Linked DNA regions of Mus musculus. The protein of the gene in region 2 purifies or fractionates together with the protein of the main gene of each other region. This does not show direct contact. Links are inferred from orthologs where the notes say so. Each region holds a gene or a part of one and is shown on either strand. Other genes may lie near its edges. The genes, in order: Mybl2 and Foxm1.

Region 1 (3,816 bases), on a different chromosome or scaffold from region 2:
CCTGTCTCGAAAAACAAAACAAAACAAAATGCAGTCAAGTCTTGATTTTCCTTTTCCTTTTGTCTTTGTTGACCAGCTTCTGCCTCTGGGGTGATGGGGCTAAGGGCATGGGCCCCAGCACCCGGCCAAGATAAAGTAAACAGGACACACAGAAGCAATGCAGTAAGTAGGCATAGATCAGGCAAATGGTTAACTGAGCTGAGCCCTGGGGTTGCAGGCCTGTGGGAGGGAGCAAGGGCAAGCAAGGCCCTTTAGAAATGGGATGGAGACTCCATGCACGCTCCCTGAAACTCTTCAGGGTGCTCAGTATAGAATCTGAAAACACAACATACTTTATCCCAAAGCTGTGACAGAAATCAAGGACACTGCCAGAAGTGAGGAGACCTCTGGGGAATTAGGACGAAGAGACATACACCCCTTTACTCTCTTCCCCCTCTCTTTCCACACCTATGTCATACCCCTACATAGCTGCGTTTGTCAGCAGGGGGCCAAACCCATCTCTAGCAGGTGGAACAAGAAGCCAATCTCCACTAAGCAGTAAGAGGGATATGTTACAATATAGTGTGTATAAATTACTTTGAAACTAAAGAACAAATTAAAGGGTACAAAACAAACTGTGATGGGTCTGTATGTGCTCCGCCCAGAGAGTGGCACATTTAGAAGTGTGTGGTCTTGCTGGGTGTGGTGGCGCACCTTTAATCCCAGCACCTCTTTGGGAGGCAGAGGCAGGCGAATTTCTAAGTTCAAGGCCAGCCTGGTCTACAAAGTGAGTTCCAGGACAGCCAGGACTATATAGAGAAACCCTGTCTTGAAAAAACAAAAAAACAAAAACCACCCCCCCCAAAGTGTGGTCTTGTTGGAGTATGTGTGTCATTGTGGGCGTGGGCTTTAAGACCCTCATCCTAGCTGCTTGGAAGTTAGTATTCTGCTAACAGCCTTCAGATGAAGACTGTAGAACTCCCAGCAACTCCTGAACGGTGCCTGCCTGGATGCTGCCATGTTCCCGCCTTGATAATGGACTGAACCTCTAAACCTGTAAGCCTTACAAATGTTGTCCTATCAGCGTTGCCTTGGTCCTGGTGTCTGTTCATAGCAGTAAAACCCGAACTACGACACAAACACACATGCCACTGACTACCTCAGCTCACAGAAAGCAGAAGGGGACCGTTCACTGTGAAATCTTCCCAGTGTCATCTTTGTTTCCAATCTTACATTTAAAAAAAAAAATCAGTTTCTTGACCTCTTGGTTTAGATTTACATGTAAAACACAAATCACTGCAGACAGTTTACAATGTGATGCCTTCAGCTGGTTGAGTGCTTGCTTGCCTTGCAGGAAGCCCTACGAGACAGCTCTTCTTGGGTGCTCTTCTTGGGTGTCAACTTGACCACATCTGGAATTAACTGAAACCCAAGGAGCTGGGTCCACTCCTGAGGAATTTTTCTTAATTAAATCTTTAAAATAGGAAAAAAATCACTTTTAACCCAGATCTTTTATGGTTGGAAGACCTTCCTTTAACCTGGGCCCCACCTGCTGGCAGCCTCTAGAAGACACGGAAGAAGGAAGCTTGCTTTCTTTGCCAGCTTGCCCTCACTCTGGCTGGCAAGTCCATACCTCCACTGGCATGAGAGCCTACTTCAGAATTCCAGTGTATAATGAAGATCATCTGAGACATTCAGTCTTGTGGACTGAACAACTACCGGATTCTTGGACAAACTGGACCAGAGCTTGCTTGTAAGACATTATAATAAACCTCCATTTTATATGTATAATATGGATTTATATATATTATGCATAAGTACACATACACACATATACATATATATTCAGTTCATAAGCTGTTCCTCTAGACAGCCCTAGTACTGCTACATTTAACCCCCAGCACCAAATAAACTGGGCATGTGCAGTGCATATGCATTTGACCTTACATGGAGAAGACCAGAAGCTGAAGGCTAGCCTCAACTACACAGGAAGTTTGAGCCTGGGTAAAAGACTCTGTCTCCAAAAAAAACCAGGAATGTGTGGCTAGGATGAGGAAAGATGGCTGAGCGGGTGAGTGTTTGTTACCCAAGCCCTACACCCAGGGTTCAATTTCCAGAATCCAAGGTAGGAGAGAACCGACAGCCAAAAGTTTCCCTTTGACCTCTAACACGTGCTCACACTCACACATATACGGACACAAGGGGAAAATGTAGTTGTTTGGGGAGTGGCGATTTAGCACACACACCTATCAGTTTCACTGTTTATAACTGTGTCTTGGTTAGGGTTTTACTGCTGTGAGCAGACACCATGACCAAGGCAAGCCTTATAAAAACGACATTTAATTGGGGCTGGCTTACAGGTTCAGAGGTTCAGTCCATTATCATCAAGGTGGGAGCATGGCAGCATCCAGGCAGGCATGGCGCAGGCAGAGCTGAGAGTTCTATGTCTTCATCCAAAGGCTGCTAGTGGAAGACTGACTTCCAGGCAACTGGGGTGAGAGTCTTAAGCCCACACCCACAGTGACACACCTACTCCAACCAAGTCACACCTATTCCAACAAGGCCACACCTCCAGATGGCGCCACTCCCTGGTCCAAAGATATACATACCATCACAAACTGTGATAGATGGAAAACAGATAGCGTATGGGAGATAGCGGGCCTTAAAATCTGACAGAAAAACACAAAGGATTCTGGGGAGATACTAATGTGGAAATCTTACTTGTCGTGGTTTACGCAGCTAGAAATGCACCAATGTGCTTTTATAGGATTATCCTAATTCAGAATATATGCCAAGATATCTTATGTCTCAATATATTTTTAAAATTAATGCCATTAAAAAAAAAAAGATGGCCAACAAGGAGCTAGACCACTCAGCAATTAACAATATTTACTACTCTTGCAGAGGACCCATGTTCAGTTCCCAGAACCTTCATGGAGCGAACTTCAGTTTCAAGGGATCTGATGTTCTCCTCTGATCTCTGTGGGCTCCTACGTACCCACAGCACACATATACACATGTAATACATAACTCTATAACTGGAAACGTGGGCTGGTGAGATGGCTCAGCAGGTAGAACGAGTGGAAACTCATGGCAGGAGAGAGCCAACTCCTACACATTGGTCTCTGAAGGCAGAACAAACATGGCGGTCCATGTCTTCCTTTAATCCCAGGACCTGGGTGGCAGTCTTAGGCCAACCTGGCCTGCATAGCACATTCCAGGACAGACAGAGCTACATAGAAAGAGCCTGTCTCAAGACACCCCGCCACACACATCACCAAAAAAAGGAAAGAAAATATGAGTCACCATGAATTGTCCTCTGACCTCCACATGGGCAGGTTGACAAGAAGACAGTTGCTGAGGACAGAGGCTGAGAACCCCTCCCCAGCCCGTTCTCAGTTACCCATCATGCTGCTCACTTCGCCTGAAAGAGAACTAGGGTTGATTTGTCACAAGTTAAGTTCTAGAAACGTGCTGGCCACACTCACTCACTCACTCTCAGACCCTAGAGCAGAAATGGGTGGGTGGCTCTGGGGAAGTTCTTGGGGAGATAGGGTCAGATGACCAGGAAACAAAGCAAACCAACCCACAAGCGGCAGCCCAGAGCCAGCTTGTGGAGCCCGGAGCCAGAGCGCAAGACCGCCCAGCACTCACCTGGCCGTCCACCGGCTGGACACCCTGGTGCTGTTCCTTGTCCTCCAGCTCCAGGAGCAAGTAGACAGGCTTGCAGTCCCTGGACTCGGCTGGGAAACCTCCCGTGTCGACTTTCCTTTTGATAGTGGAGTTCCAGTGATTCTTCACAGCATTGTCCGTCCTGTGGGGAAAACCCGGGGCCTC
Region 2 (3,816 bases):
ACTGTCTCAAAACAAGAAAGAAAAGGAGAAGGCCACGTCCACTTGATGTTACAGGACATTAATCTCGGGGCCACTGGCTCACCGCTCCTTTGCTGTCTCTCATTAGGACACAACCTAAAGCATCATGAGAAACAGACCAGAATGGCCTTGACATTGGCTATGGACAGAGTACCTTCCAGCCTGGCTTGGCAATGTGCTTAAAGTAAGGGAAGTGGTCCTCAATCCAAGTGTAGATGTCCTTCAAGGTCATGCGCTTTCTCTCAGTGCTGTTGATGGCAAACTGTATCATGGCCATATAAGAGTAGGGTGGCCTCTCAGACACAGAGTCCTGCCAAGATGTTGACACTCCTGAGGGCTCCTCAACCTGTAGGGTGAGAGAAGCCAAAGGGAAAGAGAAGAGAGAATGACAGGGAAGTTTACGAGACCCACTCCCCACCCCAGACCCATTGAGAACATCCTCCAGAACTTCCTACCTGACCCTTTAATAGACAGCTCTTCACGTGGTGACCCCGAACCATGAAACTGCCTTCGTTGCTAGTTCATAACTGTACCTTTGCTACTGTGACAGTTCTAATGTAAATATCTGATATTCAGGATACTTAACATGCAACCCCAAAGAGGTCATGACCCACAGGTTGAAAAATCACTGCTCTAGGGGATAACAGAAACAAACTCATTTGAGACCATTATTTTGTAATGGAATTAAAGTTTAATTAGTTTGTCTGGGCCCCAACCAATTAGGAACGGATTCCCTTCCATCCTTTTCCTCAAAGTAAATTGCCTGGGAAGCCTGAGGCTGGGGCATGGCTCAGTCTGATGGGGTGCTTGCCCGATCGATATGCATGAAGGCCTGGGTTTGATCTCCAGCACCACATAAGGAAAAACGGGTCATGGTGGCATATATCTGTACTTTCTGCACTGGAGGAGTTGAGGCAGGACGAGCAAGAGTTTAAGGTCACCCTCAGCTAGTCTTTTCTAAGCTATCCCAGGTTACATAAGATCCTATTTCAAAAGCAAAAACCAAATGAGGTCTCTTCCAGTAGATTCTCTAGCTGGGATCCGCACAATAATTTGTATGAATTTTCAGACTTGCAGGTCAAAGGACTTAGGTCTGAGATCCACATGTAGTCCTGATGAGACGTAAGGCCCACCTTGTCTCAGTGTAGGTATAGAAGAAACTGTCAAAATTGTGGGAAAATGCTTACAAAAGACACACTTGGACGAGTCTTAGACAAAGATCTGATCATTCAGTTTAAAAATTTGAGATATAGTTTTACAAGTCCAGATATATGTTTAAATATATAGTTTAATTAATACAAATAACATTCCTATAGAATTTACTTTGCTATTAATATAACAGTGTATCTCCTAATAAAACTGTTGTGTTAACGATGCTACATTCGATTTGTACTGCTGGGAAGCCACTTTAAAAGTCCAAGTGGCTTCTTTAACCGCGACTCTTCATCATTTCCTGAATATTTACAAAGGGCCACTAAACCCAGTACTAGAGAAATACAAAGCCAGGATTATGCCTTTAATGAACAACGATGGGGAAAGTGAGAGGTCCCAGACAGTAAAGTCACTCAGAAGTCATCGAGGAGGCTGTGGTGGCACATATAATCCTAGTTACTCAGGGGCAGAGGCAGGAGGGCCCAAGCAAGGTCAGTGTTAGCTAGACCCTGCTTCAAAGTAAAACTAAAAAGGGCTGGAAATGTAGCTTAGTAGTACCCTGTCTCACTTGAATCAGGGTTTCTCTGTGTAGCCCTGGCTGTCACGGAGCTCACTCTGCAGACCAGGCCTGCCACTGCCTCCCTTAAAGGCGGGCATCACCACCACCGCCCTGGTGGCACATAGTCTTATGTAGTATTTGGCTTTGGGTTCACTCTCCAATACCTCCAAAAGAACAATATTTAAAAGAAACATTATGATCGGGTAGTGGTGGCGCTCACCTTTAATTCCAGTACTTGGGAGGCAGAGGCAGGTGGATTTCTAAGTTCGAGGCCAGCCTGGTCTACAGAGTGAGTTCCAGGACAGCCAGGGCTACACAGAGAAACCTTGTCTGGAAAAGTCAAAACAAAACAAAGAAACATTACATAGAAAAGCCTTAAGTAGTGCTAACAGAACTTGGATGTTGTTCCAGTAGCTCCTTGCTCCATTTCTTGTCTTAGAAATTCCCTGTTTTAGTTCCGTCTTCCCGAATGAGTGACAGAATAGCTCACCTTAACCCGATTCTGCTCCAGGTGACAATTCTCCTTCTCTTCCAGTTCCTGCTTAACGCTGCAGGGGCCCAGCCCGTCAGAACTCATCTTTCCAAGCCACTGGATATTGGTTAAGCTGTTGTCCAGCGTGCAGCCTGCCGCCTCACCACCAGCTAGAGGGAAAATAACCCAAGGCTCCATTAGCAGCCTCTTCAGATGCCCGGCAGCTCTACCAAAATCAATGGCTGGGAATAACCCCTCTAAGACCTGTACTCTAAGGGACAGGGAACGAATGCATGGTAAATCGTTGTGGCTCTAAGTTATTCTGCTCCACTATGGACTTCAGGAGACATTTATGAATAACAAATTGCCTTTCAATGAGCCAGAAGGGACCGTAGGCATCTGTAAAAGCAAATTTTGGAGAACTACACAAAAAAGTCACTTTTCTTCCCTGGGCTTCAGTTTATTACTTGAAAATGGAAACTCAATTCTTTACAGGAGTGAATAAGAATGGCCCACATAGGGGGGCTGGCGAGATGGCTCAGTGGTTAAGAGCGCCGACTGCTCTTCCGAAGGTCCGGAGTTCAAATCCCAGCAACCACATGGTGGCTCACAACCATCCATAACGAAATCTGATGCCCTCTTCTGGAGTGTCTGAAGACAGCTACAGTGTACTTACATATAATAAAATAAATTTAAAAAAATAAAAAGAATGGCCCACATAGGCACATATTTGAACGCTTAGTCACCAGTGAGTGATATTTAAAGTATGAGAAGTATTAGGGCGTGTGGCATTGTTAGAGGAAGTGCGCCAGTGGGGGTGGGGGCTTTGGGGTTTCAAAAGCCCATGCCAGGCCCAGGGTCTCTCTGCCTCTCTTGGCCCAGATCAGGATGTAACTCTCAGCTACTGCTCCAGTGCCTGCCTGCCTGCCGCCATGCTTCCTACCATGTTGATAATGGACTAAACCTCTGGAAGTGTAAGCAAAAGATGCTTTCTGTTATAAGAGTTGCTTTGGTCATGGTGTGTCTTTAGAGTAACAGAACAGTCACCAAGACACATGTCAACACAAAGAATGAACCAACCAACCAACCAACCCTTTTCCAACATAAAGAGAGCATAGTAATGCTACATTAAGGGGCCAAAAACCAAAAGCCTTCACCTAGAACCTGTCTACCAGACATCAGCATGACTGACTGAAGACCTTTCCAGTGATGAGAGAGGCCAACCTCCATACCCATCTGCCTGGCAGAGCACATACCATAGCTCTCCTGTCTTTGCCTTGGAGGGGCTCCAGGAGGCTTGGGAACAGGCACACCCTTAGCTGCTGGCTTCGGTCCCAACGTCTCCGTGATCACCTCTGCTCTCTTGGAATCCCGGCTGCTGTGGGCTTGAGGCTGGGAAGGGTGAGAGGAGGGCCCCCCAGAGCTGATGAGGATGAACCGGTTGGGCCCGCTGCTGCCGCTCTCCTTCCCTTTGGCAGTTAGCGCTGTGATGATGCTCTGGATATCAGCGTTGCTGGGGATGGCCACCACTTGTGTGTTGGGCGTGGTGGGGTGGTTGATAATCTTGATTCCGGCTGGAAATTTGCAAGAGCTGGACTCTGCCACCTCTTGGGAG

What was found.
Region 1: the proteins of Foxm1 (region 2) and Mybl2 purify together in Homo sapiens (affinity purification with western blotting; 3 studies listed by BioGRID and IntAct, with this or other methods). This does not show direct contact. The link is inferred for Mus musculus from reciprocal best matches to the Homo sapiens genes FOXM1 and MYBL2.

Annotation. Positions count from the first base shown.
Region 1 is NC_000068.7:163,068,133-163,071,948, reverse strand, and holds part of Mybl2 (myb-related protein B), read right to left. Parts: exon of another isoform or gene 3,794-3,816; coding exon 3,634-3,793; intron 1-3,633. UniProt on the Homo sapiens protein: Transcription factor involved in the regulation of cell survival, proliferation, and differentiation. Transactivates the expression of the CLU gene.
Region 2 is NC_000072.6:128,365,842-128,369,657, reverse strand, and holds part of Foxm1 (forkhead box protein M1), read right to left. Parts: coding exon 3,458-3,816; intron 2,372-3,457; coding exon 2,220-2,371; intron 365-2,219; coding exon 173-364; intron 1-172. UniProt on the Homo sapiens protein: Transcription factor regulating the expression of cell cycle genes essential for DNA replication and mitosis. Plays a role in the control of cell proliferation. Also plays a role in DNA break repair, participating in the DNA damage checkpoint response.